Nothobranchius furzeri: one gene and its partners. The protein of the gene in region 4 purifies or fractionates together with the protein of the main gene of each other region. This does not show direct contact. Links are inferred from orthologs where the notes say so. Each region holds a gene or a part of one and is shown on either strand. Other genes may lie near its edges. The genes, in order: dnaJ homolog subfamily C member 13, dnajb6b, dnajc7, bag2, hsf1, luzp1 and edrf1.

Region 1 (3,500 bases), on a different chromosome or scaffold from region 4:
TCCATTCACTTCCCTCCAGTAAGAAAATCCAAAAGTATCTGAGCTGACGCCTCTGAGCTGTGATTTACCTCTGAGCTGTGATTTAGACGATCTTTTGTTTTCTCTAGGCAGGCAGATTGTGCTGGAAACCCTCCACGCACTGACTTCTAACACAAAGATCGTTAAAGAGGCGATGGCCAAAGGTCAGTCGTTCTTTCAGCTCCTGAAACATTCACACCTGTCATGAACTTGATGAGATCTCTCTGTCCCCCAGGTGCTCTGATCTATTTGCTGGACTTGTTTTGTAACTGCACACACCCCCAGGTCCGCACACAGACCGCTGAGCTGTTCTCCAAGATGACCTCCGACAAGCTGGTTGGACCGAAGGTCAGCCTGGATGCGCGTCCTCGAAGCCTCTGAGAGCGTCACACCTTCACTAAATGACCCTCGTCTTTGATTTCTGACTCACTTAGGTGCGTTTGACTCTGATGCGTTTCCTCCCGGGCGTATTCATGGACGCCATGCGAGATAACGCTGAGGCTGCAGTGCAGATCTTTGAGGGAACGCACGAGAACCCTGAGCTCATCTGGAACGACACCTCCAGGGAGAAAGTGTCCACCACCGTCAGAGAGATGATGCTGGAGTGAGTCACACAAGCTGAGACGGTTTAACCAGCTGTTGAGAGCAGGAGGTGATTAAAACGTGTTTGTTTTATTATTTAGGCACTTTAAGCAGCAGAAGGATAATCCTGACGTCAGCTGGAAGGTACGTGTGACATCACTGTAGTTTATTGTCGGTGTTTAGTGTTGCTCTGCGTTACAATGACCTTGCGTGTCTCTGTGCAGCTGCCAGAGGACTTCACAGTGGAGTATGGATCTGGGCAGGGCGAGCTCGAGGTCGGTGGAGTTTTCCTACGGATCTTCATCGCCCAGCCTGGCTGGGTGCTGCGAAAACCTCGGGAATTCCTGGTTTCCCTCTTGGAGACTTTGAGTGAGCTGCTGGAGAAAAATAACCCCAACGTGAGCCTCAGCGACACAAATCATTCTTGTTTTTCTGAGTTTGTTTACTCATGTATCTGCTACGTGGCCTTCTACAGGGTGAGGCTCTGGAGACCATCACCACAGCAGCAGTTTGCCTGTTCAGCACTCACAGCCACCTGGCGGATCAGGTTCCTCCTCTGGGTCACCTGCCCCGCGTCCTGGCAGCGCTCAACCACAAGAACAACACCGTGCCCAAGAGCTCCATCCGCCTGATCCACGTCCTGTCGGAGAACGAGGTGAGGCCATAAAAACCATGTTTGCTGTGCAGCTTTGGCCAGACACTCATTTTGAACCTGACTTGCAGCTGTGTGTGCGTTCCATGGCGTCTTTGGAGACGATCGGCCCTCTGATGGCTGGGATGAGAGTCCGCGCCGACATGGCCGGACTGGCGTGTGAGGCTCTCAACCGAATGTTCCAGAAGGAACAAACGGAGCTAGTGGCTCAGGTAAATCTGTCAGGTTTGGGTTATGCTTCCATTTTGTTGGACTTTCCCTTCAATAACACATCTAGTACCTGATCCACAGGCTCTGAGGGTGGAGCTGGTCCCATACCTGCTGAGGCTACTGGAAGGAATCGGCCTGGAGACGTTGGAAAACCCTTCAGCTACCAAGGCTCAGATCGTAAAAGCTCTCAAGTCCATGACTCGCAGTCTCCAGTATGGAGAGCAGGTCTGGATAAACGACCTCGTGTCATCGCAGCAACAAAACAAAACAACGTCTGTTACTGATTAGAAAACTTTTTCTTTTCTCTCTTTTGCAGGTAAACGAAATTCTTGCAAAGTCTTCAGTCTGGAGTGCCTTCAAAGACCAGAAACATGACCTTTTCATCTCAGAGTCCCAGACTGCAGGCTACCTGACGGGTAACTAACCAAAACATCACGAGTGTGGCTGAGAGCTGAATCCTAACGCTTTGCTCATAAAACCCTCGGCTGTCCTTCTCTGTCTTTAACTTCCTGGCTCTGCGCTTCCCTTCCTCCTTGCCCTCTCCATTTCCTCCTCAGGGGTTTCCACTCCGTCTCTCCTGGCTGCCAGCAGCCCTCTGCGAGGCGGGCTCTAGACTCCAGAGCCGGGGCCTCACAGCCCTTCTCTCTCTTGCTCTGATGCAGGTAGACTCTCACCTGACTCCTAGTCCCTCCTTCTTTACGTCCTTCATTCCATTTTCCATTTCTCCCTCTTCATCTCACCGTGCCGAGCAGATCATAACCACCTGAAACTCTCGTTTACATCCCAGTCGTGGGAATTTAGTGTTTACCGCTAACGCAAAGCAAAATCTTAACAGAAAAATTCCGTGTCTGGATTATTTTTTGTGTTTATTTTGATTAATTTAGTAATTTTTTTGTCTTGGTTTGGGGTGATGCTTTCTCGTGCTTTCTGAAAATTCAACAGATTTTTAACCCAAAAGGTCCTCAACAGCCTTGTTTCCTAGCGTTCCACCCGTCTGGCCTCTGTCTCACGTGTCTCTGTTTGGCCTGCAGGTCCAGGAGTTGCGGGTTACCTCACAGCAGGAACTGGAACCACAGTATTGTCCAGCGTCCCACCCCCTGTGGACAACAACGTCGGAGATCAAGGCTGAAGGACACCCCTCACACAGTCCCGCTACAGCTCCCAGACTGCCCTGCAGTTTCACCGCCACAGCTCGGAGAAGGACTGATCTGCTCCCCAGAAGAGAGGCAGGGGGACGACCAGTGAGAGCAGTCCATCCCAGACTGTCACCAAATTCTCCACAACACCACCTGCAGCATCACTCTTCTTTCCTCTGCTTAGAAATGACACTCAAGTCTTCATTGATGCTTTCTTTTAACAGATGACCATGTTTTTGTGCTTTTTCTTTGTTTTTGTTTTTTTGACAGAAAAAGGTTTACTTTTTGTATGAATATATTTTTTCTCTAGAATTTTTTTCCGTCATGAGAAAGAAAAGAGAAGACCAAGACTTGTGATGGAAGCTGTTGTCTCCTCTCCATTCATATCCTGACTAAAACACCTGGTCTGAGGAGAATGGGCCTAGTTTGTGCACTTGACATTGCTGATCTCTTAGATAAACATTTCCATGTCTGTGTTAAAGAATTCCATCATGAAAACAAAAGAAATGAGAAAATGAATCCCTAACGTGTCTCATTCCTTCCCTCTGACTGAAGCTGGTTGTTCTGGTTTTGTCGCACAAACCTGCTCTAACATTTCAGCCTTTCATTCCTCCCACCGGCTCTGCTCACTCTGTGAAAGATCGTCTTATTCGCTGCCTAAATCGTTTTAAGTAATTCTTTCCCCAGAATGCAAAAAGCACTAGATTATTTATAAGTCAGAATATTAAATGAATAAAATAACTGAAGGAAAGGAGAGTCTTCTGACACGAAGAATGACTTTGATTTTGAATCTATGTGAAAAACTAGTGCAATTTGTGAAATGTTCAATGTAATATTGCATATATAAACTTTCTATATTGAATGTACATTAAAAAAATCAGTCACAGTTGTACATAAAATTT
Region 2 (2,569 bases), on a different chromosome or scaffold from region 4:
CTGAATGCTTCATAATGGCGGCTTCGTTAGTTAAGGAGGCAACCTTTAATTTCACCGAGCATAGTTCCTGCTGAGATGCGAACAAAAGAGCGTAATTCTCTCACTCAGATGCACAAACAGCTCGAAAATGTCTCCTCAGAGAGCTTAATTTACAAGTTTTATTCCTGTAAACCTGAGTTTAAGCCCAAAATCGGATTATCTTTACTAACGTGTCATTAATTAGTCACAAACGCGTGTAAGCGGGTTACAGATTTATCAATAATTGTTGCAAACTTGATCCTTTATCATCTGGATCTTCTGGTAATAAAATAGCTTAATTCCAACCATGCATATGTTAAAAAATGACTTTGTATTCAAAGATTTGCATAAATAACTACCATTTTATTAGAAAATTCTGAATAAAGTTCAGTTTTTTCACTTTCAATCACAGCAAAGAGGCGCAAAGTTAAACAAAAAATCACACAATTAGAATTCTGAGAGGGTTGCATTCTGTATGAATGTTCATTATGAACGTTAATCTAACTAATCAGCTAGAGCAAAACAACAAAATCAAAACAGCCTCACAGCCTGCAACCAGCTCAGACATACATTGATTGTGTGCAAAATCAAAAAGTCAAATCTCAAGTTCACTCATGCAGCAAACCTTCCTGCTTCTAGTCAACAAGCAGAATGTAAATAAGTGAGTTACTCTTATTTTCTTTTCCTGCTGCAGCTACAAAGATAAATAAGTAAATAAATAAATAAATAAATAAAAGACTGGATTAGTTTAAAAATGTACCTGAAAACCATCTGATACCTTTTCTGTACCATGTTTAGTAAATCATGCGTATGCATTAAGATTTACTTACTGACATAAGTATTTTTATTTTTGTACCTTTTTTACACAAGTTTGCTTCTAATTAGGACAAAAAATACATGTACTGTATCCTGAAAATGGCATTAAAACAATAACTAACAGGACTGAACTCAATACATAATTTCATATCATATAAAATAATAACAATACTACAATAATACTACTACTAATAATAAAAATTGGTACTTACCACTTGCAGTGCCATCATCCACCAGAGAGCAGCAGACAAAATAATGTACTAATCCTGATAAAGAGATAGAGCTAGCAGAAATACAAGTTATGATTACAAATTAGATTTATTTTAGCACTCACATAATAATTTAGGCCACAGTAAAAGGAATAAAAAGAAAAACATTTAATCACAGCTTATAAACATTCTTAAATGCTTTCTTTTTGTTTTACTTTGAAGGTCACATGGACTCCAAGAGAAAGAAGCTGTGGCTAAAGGAGGCAGACTCCAAAAAGAAACGATCCGCTCGACTCTTCCCTCGATTGAATGGATTCGGCACCTTTTTCTAAAACACCCGGCAGGTATAAAAGTAGTTGTGTTGCAAAAGAGCCGTCGGCTACATGTGGCATTAGTATGATTTTTCTAAAATCAGAGCCGACAGCATCGCTGCTGCATCAGATCTCCTCCTATCTGCAGTATAAAGCTTAATTCATACCTGCTTTCATCAGCCATACAACACCACAACAGCAATTTTTATATTTTATTCTGATTGTAGACGCTGCAGTGGTTCGCTTGTTGCTGTTGTTGTTGAAGCGTTGGTCTTCTCCAGGAGGCCTCCAGATCTTAAACAAATCTCTAATGACTGAACTGATTTCTGCAGCTTGCTTTTTAGGCTCTTGAAAATGTTTGGCTGCAAAAGAGAAATTGCCTGATTTGAAATAACCATGAGATGTTGAGGTTATGGCATGTGAGAGACGATGAAGGTCAGTCTATTTGGTGCAACAGGCGACTTTGAAAGTTTCAAAGAAATGATGCTCAGTCCTAGTACTTTTACCAGTATTGCACCTTTAAAATGCAAATTTTAAAGATTTTTTTGTAGCCTAATCAACAACACGCTCTTTTTGTGTTTTTGTAAAATACAAACTCATTTAGGATCTTCTGACAGATCGTTCTTGTAATAAACTGCGTTTAGATGTGGAAATGTGAGACAAATGTTCACATTTTTATGGACTCTGACAATAAATACTTAAATAAAACAAAGAATATACTCATCGTTTTGTTGTGTAGGACCACATTTTATCACCAGGAGAATAATCTCAGGAAGACATCAAGCTGCTGAGGCAGTTGTGATAAGATATCTGCTGTTACAGTTCAGCGGGTGTTATCAGCCGCCTGTCCTGTGGGCCGGAACATTATTACTTCAAAACAGTGGCTGTGTGTCATTACAAATCAAGATTGAAAAAAGAGGAGAACAAATAGATTTTAGCCTATTCCACATGTCTTTGTCTAACCATGAATGAGATGTTTTTGATTTAAAGGTGCAGTGTGTAAGGATAACGTAAGAATTTTACAGTGATATAATCCTAAAACAGTCTAATGTCTCAATTACGTTGGAAGGAAGGTTATACTCAGACATATTTCATTCTCAGCCGGCTGCTGGGGTTGTCAGGTTTTCTCCTTTCAAAAGTCTGTGGGAGTGTGGGGTTGCCGTGTCTCCTGCGAGCTAGTGTAGTTTGTAATTCGACTACAGCTAGCAAAAAGCA
Region 3 (3,500 bases), on a different chromosome or scaffold from region 4:
TGCTCACACTGTACGTCTGGTAGCAACACGTCGGCCCTAAAAATGTGCTAAAAATAGCCGTTTTTACTCAACACGTCAGACTTTTTTGTCTTGCCTGTTGTCCTTCGGGAGTGCTGCAGGAGGACACACAGGGATTTATGGGGGTTGGATGAGGAAACGAAATAAAGAAAGTGAATCTGTGTTTTGTGATCAGTTTAATTTGGCATGAACACGACAAACACGCTTTCTTGACAATCTTTGCGAGTAAAAAAACGTGTAGAAACAAAAACGAACAGCGTGTTATTAGGGAAATAGCGAGCGACCGGCCGGTGTTGATGCAGGATTGCGCGCGCATGCGCCGTGAGCGGTTCTGATACTTTTTGGGTCGCAGCTGCTCGCAGCGCCGCTTCAACAGTGCGATACCCTCACGAGGGACGAGCGAAATATTAAACACACCAGAAATCCCTGCGACCTCACGACTGCTGATCGGCGGCTGGTCACGTGGTGTTAATCGCCTCTCGTAACCCCCTGTACACTACACGACCGCTCGGCGCAAAACTCGCCCCGATGTCGTGGATTCTCGCACGACTGGAAAATCGGCTCAAAAAAGTGAAAAAGTCGCACAGTGTATGCCCGGCTTTACTCTCCATGCATTTGGAGACTCAGGGTAAAATGTCTTCCTTGTTGTCATGTGTGTTTATTTCAGGTTCCAGGGTTATGGAGGTTAAGTATTATCTACCAGATAATTGCAGAATGCAGGTATACAGAGCAGGTGAGGATAAAGCTTTGAGGCTGAAGCAGAGTGGGGGCTGGTTGAGCCACACACATGGACATTACAAATAATCAATTTACTCTCTCTCTCTCTATCAAAGGGTGTGTCGTCCTTTAAGGTAATATGGGATAAAATCAAATTACCTAACAACATCACATTGTAAACACACTAGAAACATGACTGCAATGATGGCAGGATACCCCAGAAAAGTGCTGTCCTTGCAGAAAATTGCTCAACATTGACGCACCAACAGAGAAGTAAAAAAACATCTGTCAATACATGTGTGTGTGTGTGTGCGCACGCACAAACTTGCTGACGGAGAAGTATAAACTAGCCATAATTAGCTACCGTTAGTCTTCGTGTTCAATGATAATGTTACTGGTTTATGTGAATACATGTTAAAGCCACACACACACACACACACACACACACACACACACACACACACACACACACACACACACACACACACACACACACACACACACACACACACACACACACACACACACACACACACACACACACACACACACACACACACTGTAAATCGATTTGAATTGAGACTCGATTCTGGATCGAATCATCACCCTGCGGGTTGTTGAGTCATAACCCTACTATTCAATATAAAACAGACATTTATCAAATAAATAAATCATTCAACAGTTGGACCACTACCTAATTCTCATCAACTCACTCTGCAGGCGAGCCGGGCCTTGTCGTGGTCCGGAGCCATTCGCAGGGCCTGGACAAAGAACTGGACTGCCTTCTCTATACAGTCCTCGTAGTACAGACAGAGACCGCGAACATACAGAGCGTCTGCATTAGTGGGGTCCATTCGCAGGATGTCACTGAATTGAGGCAAACACATGAAGTTCTGTGATTTTCGATCTGTATTTAATTTAAATCTGATGGAGATTAAATCCAAAAACCTCTGAAGTACACATTTCTTAAGTGCTTTTCATTTCTCTTACATCAGGTTTCGATAACGCACTCCTACCTGGCTACAGACTGTGCCTCTGGGTATCGTCCCAGCAGGGCTAAACACTCGGCCTTCAGGATCTTAAACTTGTGACAAGCTGATGCACACTCCAAGGCACGGTCCATACAAAAGACAACCTGAGAACAAACCACAGCGTTCTTGTGTTTGGGCTGTCTCATGTTTCATTCTCAGACTCTACAACACAAGTCAAATGAATTTGCTTAAAGGCTAAAAGAGTAGTTCACCATTCTGAAGTCTCTCTTTTCAAACCCGATCTCTGCCATCCTCTCGTACTCCAGGATGGATTCTGCGTTCTTTAGCTGCAAACGGATCAGCAAAAATCTGGCATTTACCCACGAGGCCTTTCAGCAACACTGACGGCTTCTACAACAGAGGATAACCTAATCAGCTCTACAAATCAGAGGCTCACTCACCTCCTGCTGGGACTGACTGTTATCCGGCTCCAACTCCAGAACTCTCTGGAAACAGCGGCTGGCAGCCATAGCATTACCAAGACACAGGTGGCACTTGCCCTCTCGCAAATGTCCCTGTAGGAGAGATGCACGTCTGCCATCTTAAAGGATATTTCAGACATTTAGAATTGTATTCCTGCATAAATTCTACATAATGACCATCTGCACTGTTGTAGATCACTTCCTGAATAGCCTCACGTTAAAGAGTTTAGGTCCTCCACAGTTCCTGAACAGTCTCTGGTGATCTGACACCAAGCTCTAATGAAGAGACGCTCCTGGAGATCTGCATCGCTCCAGTTTATCATCTCAGCTGGTTCTGTTTACAAAAGCAGAACTTATGGCCCATGTTTACTCTCATCATCAATAGGTTTTCCTGCCGGAGCTCGGCAGTGACTCTCCACGTAATCATGACACCTCCCTCTGTTGCGCCAAGGCACAATATGCATTCACCTATTTTCACCTATCGCGGCCAGGTCTGGAACGCATCTACCGCGATAAACGAGGGATCACTGTACAGGAACTGATTTAGACTTGGGATTACACTACATCCAAGCACTACTATAAGCCACTGCTGCAAGGTGCAAGGACATGGCACACTGACCACAAAACTCACCGGTTATTGTCATTGTGGATATCTACTGTCACAATTATAGTAATTCATAATAGCCCCCAAGGATTTAGAGTAAATACAACATTAGCACTACCTTAGTAAGGCCTACAGGGGTACTTTGTTGTAATGTAGTCCCAAGTCTAAATCAGCTGCAAATCCTTTGTGGTATTATTTTTATTTGCAGTCAGTATGATTATTGAGGTTCACACCAAAGGCTAGCTGTTACCATTAACTCATTTATGCTAAGCTAAAGCTAACAGAATACCCACAGATTAGGTGAGTGTCTGGGCTGATTAAAAACTACTTTTTCTCCATTGATTCAACTCTGGAGAAGATGGCAACAGATGAAATGTATTTTAAGGAACGGCATCCCTTAGTCTGAACGCATCAAACATCTTTTACATTGGTGGGATTTAGCATAACATTTATGCTCATAAATACCCACTGAAATAAATGAAAGCTGAAGGTGGTGCAAAAGGGTTAGAAAGTGAAGCTACACAAACTCTTTAAGATGACAGAAAAACATTTTTGTCGGATGCTTGAACTAGCCATTAGCTCACCAGTCTAAGCCAGTCAGGAAGCCATCCACATCTCTCCATACCCACTGCAGAATCACATTTGAACTCAACAAAAACTCAGACAGTAACTTCTTATGCACACCATACCTTCACAAAGGCGTTATCT
Region 4 (4,152 bases):
AATTCGGTATGGCATTTTCCCATAAGACCTCTCCTTGCTGCTTCAAGCAGAGTCCATCTGAAATTAATTAAATGTGTAAAAGCTAACTATAGCTTTCTGTGAGGTTAGTGGAATTCAAGACACCTCGGCAAAGGGTCTCAGTGACCCCCGTTAGCTTTTGTGCCCTCCAGTTTTTGGTGATCCATTATCTTGATGTTCTTTTCGGCATTTTCAACGTTCCTCAGCAGAGTCTCCAGCCTTCGCTTTATCTTCTTCTGGTCCTCCAGAGCGCAGCTGATCACCACGGTCTGAAACTTCTGGTCAATAGGGACGAGCGGTGCCTCCGTGACGCAGGCAGCGTGCAGGGCCAGCAGCTGCTGACGGCCACCTTCCATGTCGCTCAGCAGCTTTTTCACAATCTCGTCTATCATAGACGTGGCCTTGAGTAGTGCATCCTCCTGTTGGGGGTTTCTGATTGTGCCAACAGAGATCTCCACAGACAACGTTCGGCCCATCAGACGGTTCGCAGTCAAAGATAACTCTTCCCTCTCACCTAGAAGACATGTAAACATATTACTAAATCTTTATAGGAAAGAAACTGCTTTTAATGCGGCTGTAACAGCACATCAATAGTCATTTCATATTTCTAAAAGTTTATTTCAATGAGTACAAGCTCTGATTTGTCTGAGATCCCACCCCACACCATAATACTGCCCCCACTGAAACCTGTTAAGCAATATTCATGATGTTCTCCATGATTCTGCCAACTTGTCAATAATAACAAGCTGACACCAAAATACCACTGATATTAATTGGAAGAAATGAATGCAATAACATTTCCAAACATATTTTTTATTGGGATGGACGATGTTTCTCTGGAGCATTTTTTGCCATATTGCTTGTTATGGTCATCACATCGTACAGCAACCAATAAAGTAAATGCTTTGTCGAAAAACTAATAATTTTCATTTCCTCTGAAACATGCAATCCCGTTCTTAATGACTGAATCATGATCCATCCATCAAACTCCCCTCTGACAGTCCCTCCGCTGTATGCGCATACCCGTATTTGTGGATGTATTGCGCATTCTTGGCTTAGAGTAGTTGAACAGGAAGCAAAGTCGGAGCCGGACTGCCTAGTGTTTAACGGACAGAATGTTCGGTTATGTTTGCAAATTTTATTCAAAGATTAGGTTATAACTCATCTTTTCTTGTCATCTAGAATCTTCTGGTGCTGATCTGTAACAGGCCCTTTTGCGCCATGAGAATCTATCGTGGCTGCAGGAACTGAAGTAGGGATAATCCCAACCCACCTCCCCACCTAGTGGACACTTATATTGTGTAATGCCTGAAGTCTGTTGCATCTCTGTCGGAGGTGGGTGTTTTTTTTTTTTTTGCATAGCAAAGCTGCCTTCCCAGTGGAGGGTAACTCTGAAGTGCCTTTTTTTCCCTCCACCTGAACCAATCCTCATGTAACCCTCTGATCTCAATTAGCACGACTCAGGGTTGCGAATGACCACAGTCACCAATTCTTGTCATATGTCTTGCCCATGTATGTCTGATCTCTGAATTGTGTGTACTGAAACTCTAATTTCCCTCTGGGATTAATAAAGTATCTTTGATTTGATTTTGATTGACACTCACGGCAGTGACTTTTGCTTACAAATGTGGTCTGCAGTAACCAAATTTGACCACAGGATGTCAGTCTTACATAATGCACCTTTACATAAAGCCCTTCTTTCAAATCCCTGACCAGTTGAGAGGAGTTTCTAGGTGAACCATGGAGCTCGTGTGAATCATACTAACTTACATTAATGAGGTTTAATGGAGCATAAACCAACATGACTAGACGGTCTACCCTGGTCAGACTCTGGATTTAAATAATGAGCTTTAAGGGTTAGGCCTTTTTGTCTGTTTACAGCGGAACCAAATCAATAAACCAGATGTAGGCTATTGACTCACACGATCCAGAGGTGAAACATGAGCCTGGTTCACACAAACTGGGTCTGGGTGAGATCAGAGGAGATGGGATTCTGGTAGAAATACATTAACCGTACTAGTTCCCCTTTATAACCGCGTATCTTCCCTGGCATTAAGCCGTGCGTGACTTTTGCGCTTATGTAAGTTAAGAGAGAGTTAGCAGCTTCACCAGCACAGATGTTCCTCATTTCTTGACTGTTCTGTATGGACTGAATCATTTCCAGGATGCACTCCCTTTCCTGCTCCATGGCAGATGCTGCTTCTCGTAAAGCCTCCACTCTGACACAGAAAGAGAGACAGCATATGAAATAACACGCTGCAAACCAGTTATGTTTGTTATGAAAAACATTTATTGTCACATTGCCCTGTTTACAGTGTTTATAAAAGGTTTATGCCAATAAATGTTAGCGGCCGGGGCAAATAGCGGCTCCGTAGCACACATGGTACAACAAGGGCCTGTTACCTCGTTTCCAGCTGATCCAAACTTTCCAGGAGTCGCCCCGAGCGGTCTGCCATAGAAAGCGTCCTGCTGAACTTGCTGCAGAGGGCAGCTTCGTTCATTTTCGCTTGTATTTTCGCTTGAGCCATAATGAAGACGAAGATGATGGCTACAGTGCTTTCCCTCGGTGAGCGCAAAATCCAGTGTGTGTCCCTCCGAGCCGTCCAGCTGGGTGTAAATCCTCGGACTGAGGCAGGCAGCAGCAGCGCCCCATGGGGGGAACATTTCCTAACATGGACTTCCTTCACTCCGGCAGAAAGTTCCCGAGGAGACCAGAGCTGGAGCTCCCAATCGTAAGGAGCGTGGACCAGCAGAGGTCCGTGAGCAAGCTCCTCCAGGTCCACGGAAATAAAAGACCTATAATGTTCCAACTCACTTTGCAGTTTTAAGTAATGTGTCTTGATTTATTTGGGCATAATTTTTATTAGGCAGATTGGTAAAGTAATCAAGTTATTCTGATAAACTTATCCAGGCCTATATATATATATATAATTCATTTTCACTCCAGACTACAGATGAAAGCCTGTGGTGGTCTGCAACCCGCAACTCTGGAGCCACAGTGGACCTTCCAGAATGGCTTTTACTTTATAATAATCATAGATATAATAGAAAAAGTGAGATTTAAGCAGCCTTTTGTTATGGATTAATTGAACTGAATTCCCACAACGCAGTGACACCTGTCATCTAGAGGTGAAAACTGCATTACACCCCTAGGCCTCTCAGTTTCCATGATTATGGCCTTTTTATGAACAGTCATGTTGTGCTGTTTATCATGTATATTTTAAAGACTTACTTGTCCATAAGAAATGTTACCAACTCTGCATCAGTCTGGGCTCGTCTTCCCTCTGATCACCTCTCCGTCCAATCTTCTTTTCGAGCTCCCCATGTGTATGTCGTTTGATGGCTTCCGGGGGAGCTGATTACCCTTTTGGGGGAGCCGTGATTTCAACCTCCCCCAAAAATCGCCAAGAAAATTTCAAAAAGATGTATTGCCTTGGTTATCACAGTACAGGCTTTTATGGATTAAAAGAAAATCATAAATAATTCTTGGAAGGGGGGAAACTCCAGGTTGCTGCTTTAAAGTACCCATGAGATTTTTACATCTATTTTTTAAAAATAATTTCCCTAAATATAAATATCTGGTACAAAAAATACATTCATACACTTTTGGCAAAAGTTTTCTTCCTAAACTCAAAATCTAATAGGAACAAAATGGTGTAAATATTTATGAGACGTCTAACCTTAACCTCAGAATTCTGATTATTTTTCCCTCAGAAAAGAGAAAAAGAACTTCTTCTTCAGTGGCCCTAATCCTTTTATGTAAATAGTTCAACAATTATAAAGATCTTGTTTCAAAAGGTCCTGTAACAGTTACCCATGGTCCAGAGAAGCTGTGGTGGACGTCCCTTAAGGTGGCCACCCTAATGCGTCATTCCCTGTTTTGGGGACATTTATAGAAATGATTAACAAGAATTATTTTGGGGAAAACTACATCCACACAAACAAGGTGATCCCAAACCGACACAAGCAGATTTCACAAGCTCTTGAAAAAAATTCCATCTGTTCATTAGAAGTTACCTGTTAAACTGTAAATCAGCACAAGTGCATAAAGGCTCCATCTGAAAACTTCACCAATATCTGAATGAAGTGTAAATCAAATTTAATTTACACACACACAACTACCTTTTATGTGTT
Region 5 (3,998 bases), on a different chromosome or scaffold from region 4:
GAACCATTACCAAATATATCAGATGTGTCCATTCTAACTGCACGTGTTCACAAACGTAGGGAAAAGCAAGACAGTCAGAGCTCATAGCGTTATAGACAGCTGCTCCAAAGATTTATTACAGGACTCTGTGATTATTTTAGAAAGATTTCAATACAGAAAACAAGAAAAATGTAAAATTAAATCCAACTTCAGTGTCATTGAGAGGTAGTTTTTTGGGATTTGCGGGGAGTTTATCTGTACATTAAACAGTCTGTGCTTCTGGTTAGGATGGAGATGATCTTGAATGGATTTATTTGTAATTAAGTTTCTCTCTAAAATATTAATTATTGATAATTAATGTTGTCAAAATCCTTTTGATTTTTTCTTATTAACATTTAACCAAGTCAATCAGATTTTTAGCACCTAGACAAGACTTTACCTCTAGATTACTTTGAAAGAACTAATCTGTCAAAAAGCACCAGACGTTTGATCTGAGTGCTTCTGCGTTACCATACATTTGTGACTTTTCTTTTGATGTTCTCCAGCAGGTGTTCTTGTCCTCTGATGAAGAACGGGTGCTGGAACTCTGTGTCGTCTCTCTCGGGTTTCAGCAAACCACCCTGCTCAATGTGCACCACCTTACGGAAACCATCTGGACATCAGCAGAATAGAACAAAGCAGCAGCTGGTTAAATAAATGTTCCTGATTAGTCCTGAAACTATAATAAGAGACCGCTCAACTAGAGCTGGTTTAGTTGGTTGATGACAGCTGATACTCACACATATTGAGCTGTCGGATGAAGCTTGCCATGTTGTTGTGTTTGAAGAACTTTGGTAGAACCTCTTTAGAGAAGCGAGCCTGATCAAACACATGGAAGCTGGTTCCACTCTGATATACAGAACACAGAGCAATCAGTCGTGTCAATAGAGCAATAATAACAAACAATTTAAGATTCAGTAAACAGAATTTTACAAGAAAAAATACTAGATTTTGACATTTTAACACCCGTAAATTGTGAATAAACTTTTTACCATGTCGGCACGGTGGAGAGAGGAACTGCAGCTGTCTGCAGATCAGCTTACACCGTTGACTGCAGACTGTTGCCACGGTGATCTAAACTCAACTATTGTTGTGTGAATTAGAATCAGTAGGGAAATATTCCTGCAAAGCTTTTTGCAAATTGATGTTTTATTCAGTTTTATTTGGGAAATATTGCAGTTCTTCTCTGCTTTTGCATCTGTCCCATTTTTCATAAAACAAACGTGTTTGATAATTAGTTGGTTTCTACATGTTTAAACTTATGTCTGAATCTTATCCTCAATAGCTCAGACTTTATGCCCTTTAATTTTGTCTATAGTGATTTTATTTTTAATCAAAGTAAAAAATATTTTGTCTTCTTAAACTGTGAACTCTGGATATTTGAAGGCTTTTGAGCCTTGACAAGACTTTTGGTGACCAACGTATACATTTCTGAAAGTAATAATTAAAAATATATATTATAGTAGTAAGACAGAAGGCTTTAGTAAAATGAACATTTTATAATATAGTATAGTGTGCCTTGCTGAGAGGTGCTTTGTGTGTTTTTGTTACTTGAAGCTCTTATTTTGATGAGCCACAGCAGTGATTTCAGCTAAAGAGAAGAAATAAAAGCAAAGCGTTTCCAAACTCGGGCAAATAATCACAATTTCAATAGATATACATTTCAGCAAGTTTATTAGACAGAAACTATGATTCTAATGTGATCTTTAAGCTGGATGAGCATTTGTAGAGGATTTTAGAAACCCAGTCAGTTAACTCAACTAGCAACAATATAAATTGAAAATGTATTACTGAGGAATTAAAAACTTCTGCAAAAAAACAACAACAATACCATGTTTACGGTATGGTTTGACTGTTAACGTAAAAACTGTTGTATATGAATCCACATTAGAGTTCTTAGAAAACTTGTATCAGGTTTTACAAGTCAAACATAAAAATAGGCCTTGAGTAGGTAACATGAGGTCTATGTAAGTAAATTAACTTGGTTGCTCATTTTCACTGACATAACCAACAGCAGGTCAACACCTGGTCCCCAGTATACGTCAAATTTATAACACCAGCCGAACACGAGTAACTCTCTGAGGACCTGATGGCTAAATCCAGAGCGCCAGACAGTTCTAATGTTAGCCCGTCAGAAATCCACCTGCAGCTGTTACAGCTAACTTGTGATATTACATTTTATCAATATTACAAACTAACAAAAAAAACTAATGTATTTACTCGCTTTTTAAAAACATTCTCCCTGGAGTCTTCGCTCTGATAAGAATAACGTCTCAAGTGCTCTGCGAGTAATTAGCAGTTAGCTCTGCTAGGCTAGCCTAACATGAGTACCGGGCTCCAGCAGATAAGAGGGTCGGTCTCCGGGTCTTCTACCAGGGTCCACAGCTTCGTTAAGAAGGCTGGCACGTTTCCGCCGCTCACCACCACTCCTCCGGTCACTCCACCCCCTCCGAGATATTCCATTACAATAAAAGACGATAAACGTACACTAAACTCCTGAAGCTAATGTCAATGCTAAGTCGGTTAGCCTACTGTTAACCCCATCAACTCCTAACAGACACAAAAAAGCGAATAAACTACGACACTAAACCAGATTAGGGTTCGTGGAGCATCTCGAAAAGTTAACCCCGATCTGGAGTGGTATTAGTGTCGGCTAGTCCACAGACCAATGTTCTAACTTTACTCTAAACAAACTCCGTAGTGGAAAATTCCAACAAATCCGATAATACAAACAACTGCGTAGCTGGCTGAATGGCTGTCGCTCTTTCGCAGCGTCATGACATAACGTAAAGTGAACGTTCGGTCGCGGTGTGACGTAAAGCTATATCTGGATTGTTTTTAATTTGGAATGGAAATGGCAGGGTCAAAAGCAGAGAAATACACATTTAAAATAAATATAAACTTTGTGTTTTATTTTGCATGACATGTCATTTTTCTTAGCGATAGGTTGATGTTTTAATCCCAGGTGTTTTCATTTCAAATTTAAGTGTCCTTGGGCAAGGCATTGAACTCTGCCCTCGTGGTTGTAAATTCTAGATGAGTGCCTGTTTTGAAATTTTGTTAATTTTCAGGGGCCTGATCTTGAACCTGTGGTATTTTCACACCAGATGTTGCCATACATTTATGCCGTAAACCATTTATTTGCAATTAAATATTACCTTTTACGAGCCCATTTAACGGAAGTTACTCGACCTGCGCAGAGCGCGAGGACATCCACTCTGTTTACTGCCACTGGCAGTCAGGAGGGAACGAAACAGAACCAATTTTTGGTGACACGTTATCTTTATGTTTGCACATGGATGGAGACACTCACAAATTCGATTTAATCAACACATTCAGTCATTTTTAAGAACCTAATGATAATCTGTTTAAAGTAAAAATTATTGTTGCAGTCTGATGTTTTATTGTTGTTTTACAACATTGTTATGTTATATAAATTGATTTTGATCGACATTTGTTAACTTTTGCTTTTAATTCACATCATAAACTTCATTGCAATCATACAGAAATGTTGTTTTTGGTCAGTCTGACAATACAGTTGTTGGGCTTGTTTGTTTTCAAACAGTAGTGTTGTTGATATGTTATGTCATTAGTTGACCAATTTCAAGATTAAGGTTTTCTTTTTGTGCAAATTAAAGAAAATGTTTTCTGTGGTCAAATATGGCACAGGACAGAAACATAAACGCGTATATAATTAGGAATTTATCTCTCACAGGCTTTTGGGTATTTACACAAAATATTTGTTAAGAATTTAAGTGGGTAGTTTTTTTTTGTGAACATCAATCACATTATATTGTAACAACAACCAAAACTCAACAACAACAAAAAAGAAAGAACAACTCAGTAGATAAACCAAAAACCTTTTAACTAGACCATTAGAAATATTCTAATCAGCAGAAACAACCGGATTTATAAGATTAACAAGACACAATAAAAAATTATAATAAATATTATATTAATATTAATACTACTAATAATAA
Region 6 (4,226 bases), on a different chromosome or scaffold from region 4:
GCTGCATGACCCTTTATTATAAACGTTCTACATAAAAAAACCTTTCAAACAGACTTTAGCAAGAATCTGTGCATTACTAACTACTGGATCAACTAGTGTGAATGAACCAAATCAGTTTGGTAATAAATTACTGTATAAAACACCTACCTATAAGGATGTTACTGGTAGACGTGTGGCGTTCTTTAACAGGCAAAGGTTCGCTGGACAAGCTGCTGCTGCGGCTGCTTGTTCTGGAAGACCCAGGGTCGTTTGGGTAAATGGTTATGCTACTGGTCATTTTACTGGTGGTGGTCACTGCTGGCTTGGTGGAGATACTGGGTTTGCCGTTTGTAGACAAGGACTCAGAAATCATCAATTCCTTCCTGTCAATCTCAACAATGGCGGGCTTGATGATGGCATTGGACCTCAGCGCCTCCCGAGGGCTGCACACTCTCTGGATTTCCATCGCTGACGGAATGTGCACGAATCCCTGTTGGCCACCGTCCGAGGACTGAGTCCTACTGTGCAGCTCTTCGTCAAATGAGCTCCTGGAAGAAGAGCCCTCTGAATGAGAGTCATGGACATGTGGGTATCTGGCATACCTGGGGGTTGCAGTCCTACTGCTAATAGTTGCACTTGTCTCTGTGACGGGTTCCACTTCAGATGGCCTTGAGCTGATAGATTCGGTTTCCGAAGCAGAGGAATGACTGTCTGAGCCCTGATCGTTGACGAGCAGCGGAGAGATGCGAGACCTGTAAGCCGCGTACGATCCGTTGGCTCTGGATGAGGTGGATGCCACAGACGCGGACACGGATTCTTGAACCAGGTCTACAGACTCCTGATCCGAGGCGGACGCCACCTCCTTCTCCAGCGCGGAGACACTGGAGCTTTCTGGCACTGCATCAGAGTTGTTTGATTCGCTATCACTACCAACGTAGAGCTTTGAAAACTTGTCCCTGCTGTTTTTCAGGTCCCCATCAGTCTGTTTGTTCACAATCTTCTGTGACTTCTTGTCATTAGCTGCTGGAGGGTAGCGACTCAGAACAGACAACTTCTTAGCATCATTACAAGTGGAGTTTAGGGAGCTGTACGTGGCTCCTCGTGTCCTTTCCTCAGTAAGCCGTGCACCATCTTGTTTTCCAATTTCAGACACAATTGCAGCAGCTGAGGTTTTGGGTGTCCTTCTGGTCTTGATAGCAGGACTGAGGGCTCTCCTCGTAGACTTTGGAGATCTCTCCTCGGTGTGGCTGAGCTCTCTGCTCCTCAGTTTGGTTTCTCTCTTGTGCTGAGGGGAGAGCTCCCTGTTCCTGTGCTTAGGGGAGCTAGGTTCTGAAGCAGCTGCAGCGCTTCTAAATTTAGGTTTCTCTTGTCTGAAAGCTCCCTTCACGATCTCCTGATTCTCAGCTTTGCCATTTTCAAGGACCTTAGCGGGACTGTTCGGATGAATACTGCTGCCTTCACTGCCGTGCTTTTCCAGGTGACTGACCCCGTTGCCTCCAATCCCTCCTTTTCCGAACAGCTGCGTCCTTAGCTGCTCCACCTGTTCACTTAGTTGACGAGCTCGATTTCGTTCCATCTGGAACTTTTCGTGAAGTTCTCCATTTTTAAACTCTGAGTTCTTCAAGTCCTCCTCCACTATCTCCAACTGTTTGAGGCGATTTTTCAGCTTCTCCAATTCCTGCGTCAGCTCCTTTACTTTGTTGTCCTCTTGTGAGCCGCCAAGACCGCTCATCTTCTTCTTGTCCGATTTGTTGACGATGCTGATGTTCTCATCTAGTTTTAAGGAGTCCATCTTCTTCTTGTATCCAGCCAGCTTACTCGTGAGGGAGTAAGTGGACGACAGCTCATCCTCGATTCTTGAACTCATGAAATCTGCACGCCCTGGCTCTGTCGATATGCCAAGGTGTTTCTTTTTTTCTTCTGTCAAATTTAGAATGGTTTTCTCATCCTCCTTCTGTTTCTCCAACAGCCTCTTGCGCTCACTGACAAAGGCCTGAGTGTATCCCTTCAGTTTCTCAAGCTCCATAGCCAAAGCCTGCTCTGCTCTTTCTAGCCTTGTTTCAGAACCTTCCACTTCCTTCAAACGAGCCTTGAGCATTTCCAGCTCAGATGAGAGCTTCCTGGTCAGGTTTTTCTCCTCGTTGAGGCTAAGGCAGAGCTGGCTACAGTCAGACTTGCTTTTATTAAAAGCCTCTTCCAGTTTCTCTAGTTCAGCCATCCTCCGCTGCAGACGCTCAATCTCTGCCTTTAGCTCCTTTGTGAGGTTTTCCTCCTCTTCCAGTTTCTCTCGAACTGTGCGACAAAGGTCCTCAGCTTTGCGTACTTCCTCATCTTTGCCCTGGATCTTCAAGAGATGTTTCCTCAGGGTTTCTACATCGCCAAGGAGTGATGAGTTGCTGCCCTCTGCTTGGATGATCTTGTCCTACGAAGAAGAGTTTCATTAATGTTTACATCACTTAACTCGTCTCATTGTCAGCCAGTACCAACCTGCAGATCCAACAGCTCATCCTCGGACTTCTGCAGCTTGTTTGTCGCTTCTTCCAGTTCATCCAGTCGTCTGCCGAGACTCTGAAGCTTGTGCCGTAGGTGGCGATGCGTCATGTCTTTATGATCAGACATGGCTACAAACGTCTGTGTAATGTATCGGTTGGGTTGGTTCTGCTGTCGGATTATTTAATGACAGACTGATGGGGGTTCCACATCTGTGTGGCAGTGACAGAAAGTCCTAAAGGCTCTCAGGGAAATGCTGTTGCCTCTTTGCAGTCTGGCTCTTCCAGTTGTTCCAGCTGTCTCTTCAAGTCGTCAAAGTTTCCTCAGAGTGGTGTTTAGCAGACAAATCTGTCATCAGTAGGAGGGAGAGGAAATAACACTTAGTCATTCCTGGTTTGTTAATGACAATCATTTGCATTCCCAAAAGTAGTTATGTGAGCCAAGCAAATGAGTCAAAGACCATAGGGATTTGCTTGCACTGTATCCTGTTAACAAACGAAGCAGTTACTCCTGAGTTTACCTAGGCAAATTAGAAGAAGTCTACCATAGTGAAATTGCTGCTGTAATTTAAATGTTTCATTGAATTCCACCTGGTGAGTAGCGCCTCATTCTCTAAACAACCAAATAATGCATCAATAAAAATAACACAAATACATTTTATAACATAAATGATAATAAATGTCCCTTTGAAGAAGAAAAGATGGGAGAAGAAAGAAACAAAGGAATCTTGAATGATTTAGATATTTGATGATTTAAGAGCAGCTGCACAGTGGTTAGCGCTGTTGCCTTGCAGCAAGGAGGTCCCAGGTTCACATCCCGGCTTGGGGTCTCTCTGCAAGGAGTTTGCATGTTCTCCTGGTGCATCGGTGGGTTCCTTCCAAGCATAAGTATCTGTATAAGAAGCGCCAAAGCCGCCTCCACCTCCTGAGGAAACTGAGGTCCTTCGGAAATCCACTCTGCTGTGGTCTGTTGGGGTGCAGGCATCTCTGACCGTGACACGAAGAGACTGAACAAGCTAGTTCACAAAGCTAACTTGGTTCTGGGTACAGTTGAATAGACGTGTGAGAGGAGAATGCTGGGGAAGATGACCACCATCCTAAAACCCCCCTCCCACCCACTGTATTCCACTGTGGAGACCACGGACAGCTCCTTCATAGGCAAACTGAGACATCCCAGATGTAAAACAGAAGGCTACTGTAGCTCTTTCATCCCCTCTGCTGTACGAGTGTATACGTTTTACTGGCATTATCCTGGTACACAATAACACCAATGCGATATTCAGTATGTGTTTAATACCGGATTTACACTGCATGTCTGTGTCTCTTGCAGTATGCTGACTAGTGCCGTGGTGGGTCAAGAAAATTTCTCCCACACAACTGGACTAGGATATTGTTTTTACGGTCTATCGTCTAGAACCCATCTGCCCCATTCTCTTCTGACATCTGACATCAACAAGGAGTCATCGTCCACACAACTGCTGCTCTCTGTAAACCCTAGAGATAGTGTCTAAGTCTTTTGCCATTGAGCCTCCATGTTTTTCACCTTGCCTGTCCTTCAAAGGGCCAGGAGCAGCACATCTTTCAAGTGTGTGTGTGTGTGTGTGTGTGGTGGGGGGTGTTAGCCTTGCACGAACAGACCCCACACGCTTTGTTCCTTCCCTGCTCCTGTAGACCCACATCGATCTGTGTTTTGCTTGCCTGCTTTTGCTGACAGCAGCACATCTCAATCACGCATACACTCCTCCATAGCAACAGCAG
Region 7 (4,034 bases), about 13 Mb from region 4:
TGTCCAGCCAGTAGTCGATGCCTGTCAGAACGTTGATTGGTTTATTGCTGTCCCTGAAAACAGAGAGAGAGTCCAAAGTGAGGGCTCAGCAGCCATGTGACCATTTAATCAGTCAGACTGAGCAGCAATAATGTGTTGGAGAGGCTGCAGCTGCTGCATTCTCACAGTCAAGTGAATTAGAAAAAGACTTGGACCCTCCATAATAATCTCAACCCAATGCATCTTCCTTTCTGCTGGTCTGTGCATGTTACACACACACACACACACACACACACACACACACACACACACACACACACACACACACACACACACACACACACCAATGTTTATTTGGGATAAAATGGCTCAAATATCAAACCTGAGTCTCAAGCTGACAGCAGGATAGCGACCGCCTCCGAAGATCGGCATGTTGGACCCAACTAACATGTGGATATCCTCAAACGTCCACATGATGTTTCGTACAAAATCGTTCCTTAAACCCTGTAAATGATCACATAAAGTACAGCGTGTATGACAGCACTCATACAGTAATAACATTAAGATGTTTTGCATTTACCTGACTGTTTTCCCCTTCGTTAAAAAGAGTGGGGAGGTTTTGCTCTTTGGGTACCGACGTCACCTGACCCAGAGCAAACGTGCTGTCCACAGAAACGCTTTCCTGCACATTTAACAGCAACAGTGTTTCATTCTTCTAATAAATTCTAGCAACTGTTCCTAACCGTGTCTATTATTGAGACAATAACCTGACATAAACACCGACAGCATTGTGTGTGCAGCTCAGCTACCTGTTTGGGCATATCTGATTCTTCTGCGTCAGACATTGTGCTGGTGAAAGTGGCAGGCCATGTGGAGCTGTACTCCTCGGCTTCATTCTCCTCATCTTCTTTATCAATGTCATGTGACACAGGCTCTGCAGCCCCATCACCGTTTATGCTACCAGAGACATAGATTATTTATACTGAGAATGATGCATTAAGCTCAAGTCAATCAATGAAGCAAAGCTATTTACTCACCTGTAGTAGAGGAACTTGGATAGGATGGCTTTCTGGTACCAGTTCTCTTTGCTCTTCTTTTTTCTTTGCCATTTTTGATCTATTAGTCGCTGATAAATCTCTTTGAGCCAGGTCCAATCCCTGGTCTGTACAGTATAAAGCATGCTAAAACATGGTCGTGTAAATAAATATTTTAAAGAAGCTAAATGGAAAACACATTTTTACCTGTGAGGATCTGCGTAAGAGTTCCTGAATGTCCAACTCGTCCAAAAGCAGCGTCCTTCCAACGCGGTGAACAGCCATACTAACATGCGACTTGCTGTAGGGAATTTTCAAAAGCTTCTTGATGTTCTTAAATGAAACATAAAAACAAAATTAACATCAGCTGTGTGTAAATTTCTGAAAAAGAAAAGGATTCAATTGTCTTAGAACATCACCAACCTCAGAGTCTGAAACCACATCAACATCATCTCCGATGCAGTCAATGAAGTCATAAGCCATCCCAAAACTGAGGAAAAAGGCAAAAATCGATCCATTACATTTGTTTGATGATCAAATAATCTCAAGCTGAAATCTCTTGTTATTAGCACTTCAGACAGGGAGAGATTATAGGGTTTGTTTACATATATATTTTCATTAAAAACTGCAACATGACATTTTTAGACTATTTCGTTTTTAGAATATGGTCGTGTAAATAAATATTTTAAAGAATATTTATATATATATATATATATTTTTTTAAAGAAGCTGACTATGCTGCACACAGGCATAAGGCATAACTAGAGACGTTTGAGAAAGAAAAAAAAGAGTTTAGGTTTGGCACTGGCACTTATGCTTCACAGCAAGAGATACAGCTCTGCAGTCACCTCCAGGCTACCAATATTTAGCTAAATTTGACAGGACAGGACTCCTCTTCGCAGTTAATTACTCAGATACCATTTTTACCTGGAGAAAGGCTTGCACTTGCTGCTGGAGCCTAACACAGTGGTACCAGCACTGCCCAACTGAGGGTTTTCTCTCAGCCAGTTGGCAGGTGGCAGCTTCAGGTCTGTTTTCTCCTGCAGCAGGGCGTAGGTGGTAGGAGGTGGTGCAGCAGAATACTTGACGACAGCACAGCTTTTTACCTCACCATTGCCTAAGCAAACTGCAGACTCCTACAAAATAAGAGTCATGGTAAAAACAAAGGAACACACTCCACATTTGAACTCACTGACTAAATGTTGAATAATTACTCCAGGTAACAGTAAATAGCTATTTTGATGGATAGTCTTACATGTAACGATTTATTGACTGAAATAAACTGTCATAACATTCACTCGCCAAGTAACTTACATGTTTGCTGTAATCTCCTGTGCTGCTGGAGCCACCAATGTCTTCCCTAGCAGTGTCCCAGGGCATCCCAGGCTCTCCGTCCCCAGCTGTTGATGAGCTCATTCTGGTAAGACGACCGCTACCCCGCAGTCATAAGCCGGTTCCTAATCACTAGAGAACACGTTTACAGTTTAGGCAGTACATTATCTCGAAGGCGTACGGTATTCGTGAATTTCACCGATAAATTCACCGTTAGCTAGTTTAAGCTCCAAGAAAGAGTAGTAACGTTAGCATGAAAAAAAGTGTCAATAAGACTCGGCAATTTAAACTAAAGCTACCAAACTCTCAAATGAGGACGTATTATTGCGTTTTTAGTCCAAAAACATTTTGTCAACAGTAACTTCTGTCACTAGCATGTACCTTCTTTCCATCTGCACACGACTGTGTACATGTCTGACGCTAGTTAACGGAGACGAAACAACTTCCGGTTTAAAGTCATGGGCGGTAGGAAAATTTCTTATTTCCAAGTTTTTCGGCAACATTTCTGTCAAGTTTTGAAAATAAAATACAAAAGTATGCTCTTTCAAAATAATAAACCCAAATTCTGACTTAACAAGCAACAATAACCCCCTAAATATATATTTTTATTAATTGAACGTGAACCGGAAGTACCTAGAAAGGTTCTTTCTAGAACTTTTGAGTGTGTTCTGTTTTGAAGTCTTTTACTTTGAAATTGACAATTAGAAAAACACGTGAAGTGTTGTAGAAAGGAACTACACAAAATTAAAATGTAGTATTTATTAAATGTACTAATTCATTTTAATGAAATAATAATACAACGAAATAATAATACAAATAAACAAAAGTAAATAATAACATTATTATGGCATTCCATTGACGTAACTTTTAGGCCTACAGTGAGTTTTATCTGGGTGTGTTTTCCATTGAGAGGTGATTCGATTTAAAAAGATTTGTAGATTTGGTCAACTCCGCAGAGGAATGTCAAGCAGCTGCGTTAAAATGGGGCGGAGCCGTTAACGTTGCTGACAGACCCAAATTCTTGTGCTGATTACTTGTCAGCTGCTACTTCGTGACCTTATTTGAAAAGCTTGTAAAGGAAACAGTCAGAATATTAACAGAGAATTATGGGAAGCTGGAAGAATCACGTTCGCGCTCGACTTGAGCAGAGAGATTTCAAAGAAAAACATCCATTTATTGGAGTCTTCTCAAGCTGTAAGAGTAACGTTTATTTTATATTTAATTAAAGTAATAATGTTTTTATATTGTCAGATTTTTTTCTAGTGTCTCAGCTGGAGGAACGTTTGGAAATTCGAGAACAGATTTGGGAGGATATGCATGATAAGAGGTTAAAACAATCTTTGGTCAAATTTTGTATTTAGTTTTTTGCATGACAATTTAAACGTATTGACTATATTTTTAGCGTGGATGGAGGTGAAGGGGTAACAGGAAAAGACACCCAGCTCATTCAACTGCAGCTTAAAGAAAGTGAACACTTGGTCCACAAGGTGAGTGAAATCAGCTGCAATCTGGAAAGGAAAGGAAAGGAAATATTCTTCTTTAATGATGAATGCCATTTTTTCTCATCAGTTGTCTCAAACTGTCTCTGATCTGACCTCTGTCCTGTATTTGAAAGAAGCTGAGCTACAATACTGGCAGTCATGGTACTTTTTAATCTAATTTATTTGTAGAATCCAAAAACACAAAGAA

Evidence for each region.
Region 1: the proteins of bag2 (region 4) and dnaJ homolog subfamily C member 13 purify together in Homo sapiens (affinity purification with mass spectrometry; 3 studies listed by BioGRID and IntAct, with this or other methods). This does not show direct contact. The link is inferred for Nothobranchius furzeri from reciprocal best matches to the Homo sapiens genes BAG2 and DNAJC13.
Region 2: the proteins of bag2 (region 4) and dnajb6b purify together in Homo sapiens (affinity purification with mass spectrometry; 4 studies listed by BioGRID and IntAct, with this or other methods). This does not show direct contact. The link is inferred for Nothobranchius furzeri from reciprocal best matches to the Homo sapiens genes BAG2 and DNAJB6.
Region 3: the proteins of bag2 (region 4) and dnajc7 purify together in Homo sapiens (affinity purification with mass spectrometry; 7 studies listed by BioGRID and IntAct, with this or other methods). This does not show direct contact. The link is inferred for Nothobranchius furzeri from reciprocal best matches to the Homo sapiens genes BAG2 and DNAJC7.
Region 5: the proteins of bag2 (region 4) and hsf1 purify together in Homo sapiens (affinity purification with mass spectrometry; 3 studies listed by BioGRID and IntAct, with this or other methods). This does not show direct contact. The link is inferred for Nothobranchius furzeri from reciprocal best matches to the Homo sapiens genes BAG2 and HSF1.
Region 6: the proteins of bag2 (region 4) and luzp1 purify together in Homo sapiens (affinity purification with mass spectrometry; 3 studies listed by BioGRID and IntAct, with this or other methods). This does not show direct contact. The link is inferred for Nothobranchius furzeri from reciprocal best matches to the Homo sapiens genes BAG2 and LUZP1.
Region 7: the proteins of bag2 (region 4) and edrf1 purify together in Homo sapiens (affinity purification with mass spectrometry; 3 studies listed by BioGRID and IntAct, with this or other methods). This does not show direct contact. The link is inferred for Nothobranchius furzeri from reciprocal best matches to the Homo sapiens genes BAG2 and EDRF1.

Annotation. Positions count from the first base shown.
Region 1 is NC_091747.1:45,068,596-45,072,095, forward strand, and holds the end of dnaJ homolog subfamily C member 13, read left to right. Parts: coding exon 1-18; intron 19-107; coding exon 108-182; intron 183-253; coding exon 254-366; intron 367-452; coding exon 453-622; intron 623-701; coding exon 702-744; intron 745-824; coding exon 825-998; intron 999-1,075; coding exon 1,076-1,255; intron 1,256-1,323; coding exon 1,324-1,464; intron 1,465-1,543; coding exon 1,544-1,687; intron 1,688-1,778; coding exon 1,779-1,878; intron 1,879-2,019; coding exon of another isoform or gene 2,020-2,075; exon of another isoform or gene 2,076-2,124; intron 2,125-2,493; coding exon 2,494-2,591; 3' UTR 2,592-3,113; downstream 3,114-3,500.
Region 2 is NC_091747.1:47,486,495-47,489,063, reverse strand, and holds the end of dnajb6b (dnaJ homolog subfamily B member 6b), read left to right. Parts: intron 1-1,265; coding exon 1,266-1,375; 3' UTR 1,376-2,069; downstream 2,070-2,569. UniProt on the Homo sapiens protein: Has a stimulatory effect on the ATPase activity of HSP70 in a dose-dependent and time-dependent manner and hence acts as a co-chaperone of HSP70. Plays an indispensable role in the organization of KRT8/KRT18 filaments.
Region 3 is NC_091745.1:16,064,866-16,068,365, forward strand, and holds part of dnajc7 (dnaJ homolog subfamily C member 7), read right to left. Parts: coding exon 3,482-3,500; intron 2,282-3,481; coding exon 2,168-2,281; intron 2,054-2,167; coding exon 1,979-2,053; intron 1,871-1,978; coding exon 1,752-1,870; intron 1,603-1,751; coding exon 1,449-1,602; intron 1-1,448. UniProt on the Homo sapiens protein: Acts as a co-chaperone regulating the molecular chaperones HSP70 and HSP90 in folding of steroid receptors, such as the glucocorticoid receptor and the progesterone receptor.
Region 4 is NC_091752.1:19,643,860-19,648,011, forward strand, and holds the start of bag2 (BAG family molecular chaperone regulator 2), read right to left. Parts: upstream 2,801-4,152; 5' UTR 2,547-2,800; coding exon 2,422-2,546; intron 2,238-2,421; coding exon 2,128-2,237; intron 533-2,127; coding exon 138-532; 3' UTR 1-137. UniProt on the Homo sapiens protein: Co-chaperone for HSP70 and HSC70 chaperone proteins. Acts as a nucleotide-exchange factor (NEF) promoting the release of ADP from the HSP70 and HSC70 proteins thereby triggering client/substrate protein release.
Region 5 is NC_091759.1:9,321,637-9,325,634, forward strand, and holds the start of hsf1 (heat shock factor protein 1), read right to left. Parts: upstream 2,801-3,998; 5' UTR 2,482-2,800; coding exon 2,350-2,481; intron 868-2,349; coding exon 759-867; intron 632-758; coding exon 495-631; intron 1-494. UniProt on the Homo sapiens protein: Functions as a stress-inducible and DNA-binding transcription factor that plays a central role in the transcriptional activation of the heat shock response (HSR), leading to the expression of a large class of molecular chaperones, heat shock proteins (HSPs), that protect cells from cellular insult damage.
Region 6 is NC_091758.1:27,128,022-27,132,247, forward strand, and holds the start of luzp1 (leucine zipper protein 1), read right to left. Parts: upstream 2,801-4,226; 5' UTR 2,599-2,800; coding exon 2,467-2,598; intron 2,402-2,466; coding exon 148-2,401; intron 1-147.
Region 7 is NC_091752.1:32,210,973-32,215,006, reverse strand, and holds the start of edrf1 (erythroid differentiation-related factor 1), read right to left. Parts: upstream 2,801-4,034; 5' UTR 2,727-2,800; intron 2,622-2,726; exon of another isoform or gene 2,478-2,621; 5' UTR 2,430-2,477; coding exon 2,328-2,429; intron 2,150-2,327; coding exon 1,941-2,149; intron 1,504-1,940; coding exon 1,437-1,503; intron 1,347-1,436; coding exon 1,221-1,346; intron 1,142-1,220; coding exon 1,017-1,141; intron 937-1,016; coding exon 789-936; intron 662-788; coding exon 560-661; intron 484-559; coding exon 362-483; intron 54-361; coding exon 1-53. Other genes in the region: si:ch1073-143l10.2 (autophagy-related protein 16-1), read left to right, coding at 3,452-3,539, 3,609-3,672, 3,748-3,832, 3,915-3,988. UniProt on the Homo sapiens protein: Transcription factor involved in erythroid differentiation. Involved in transcriptional activation of the globin gene.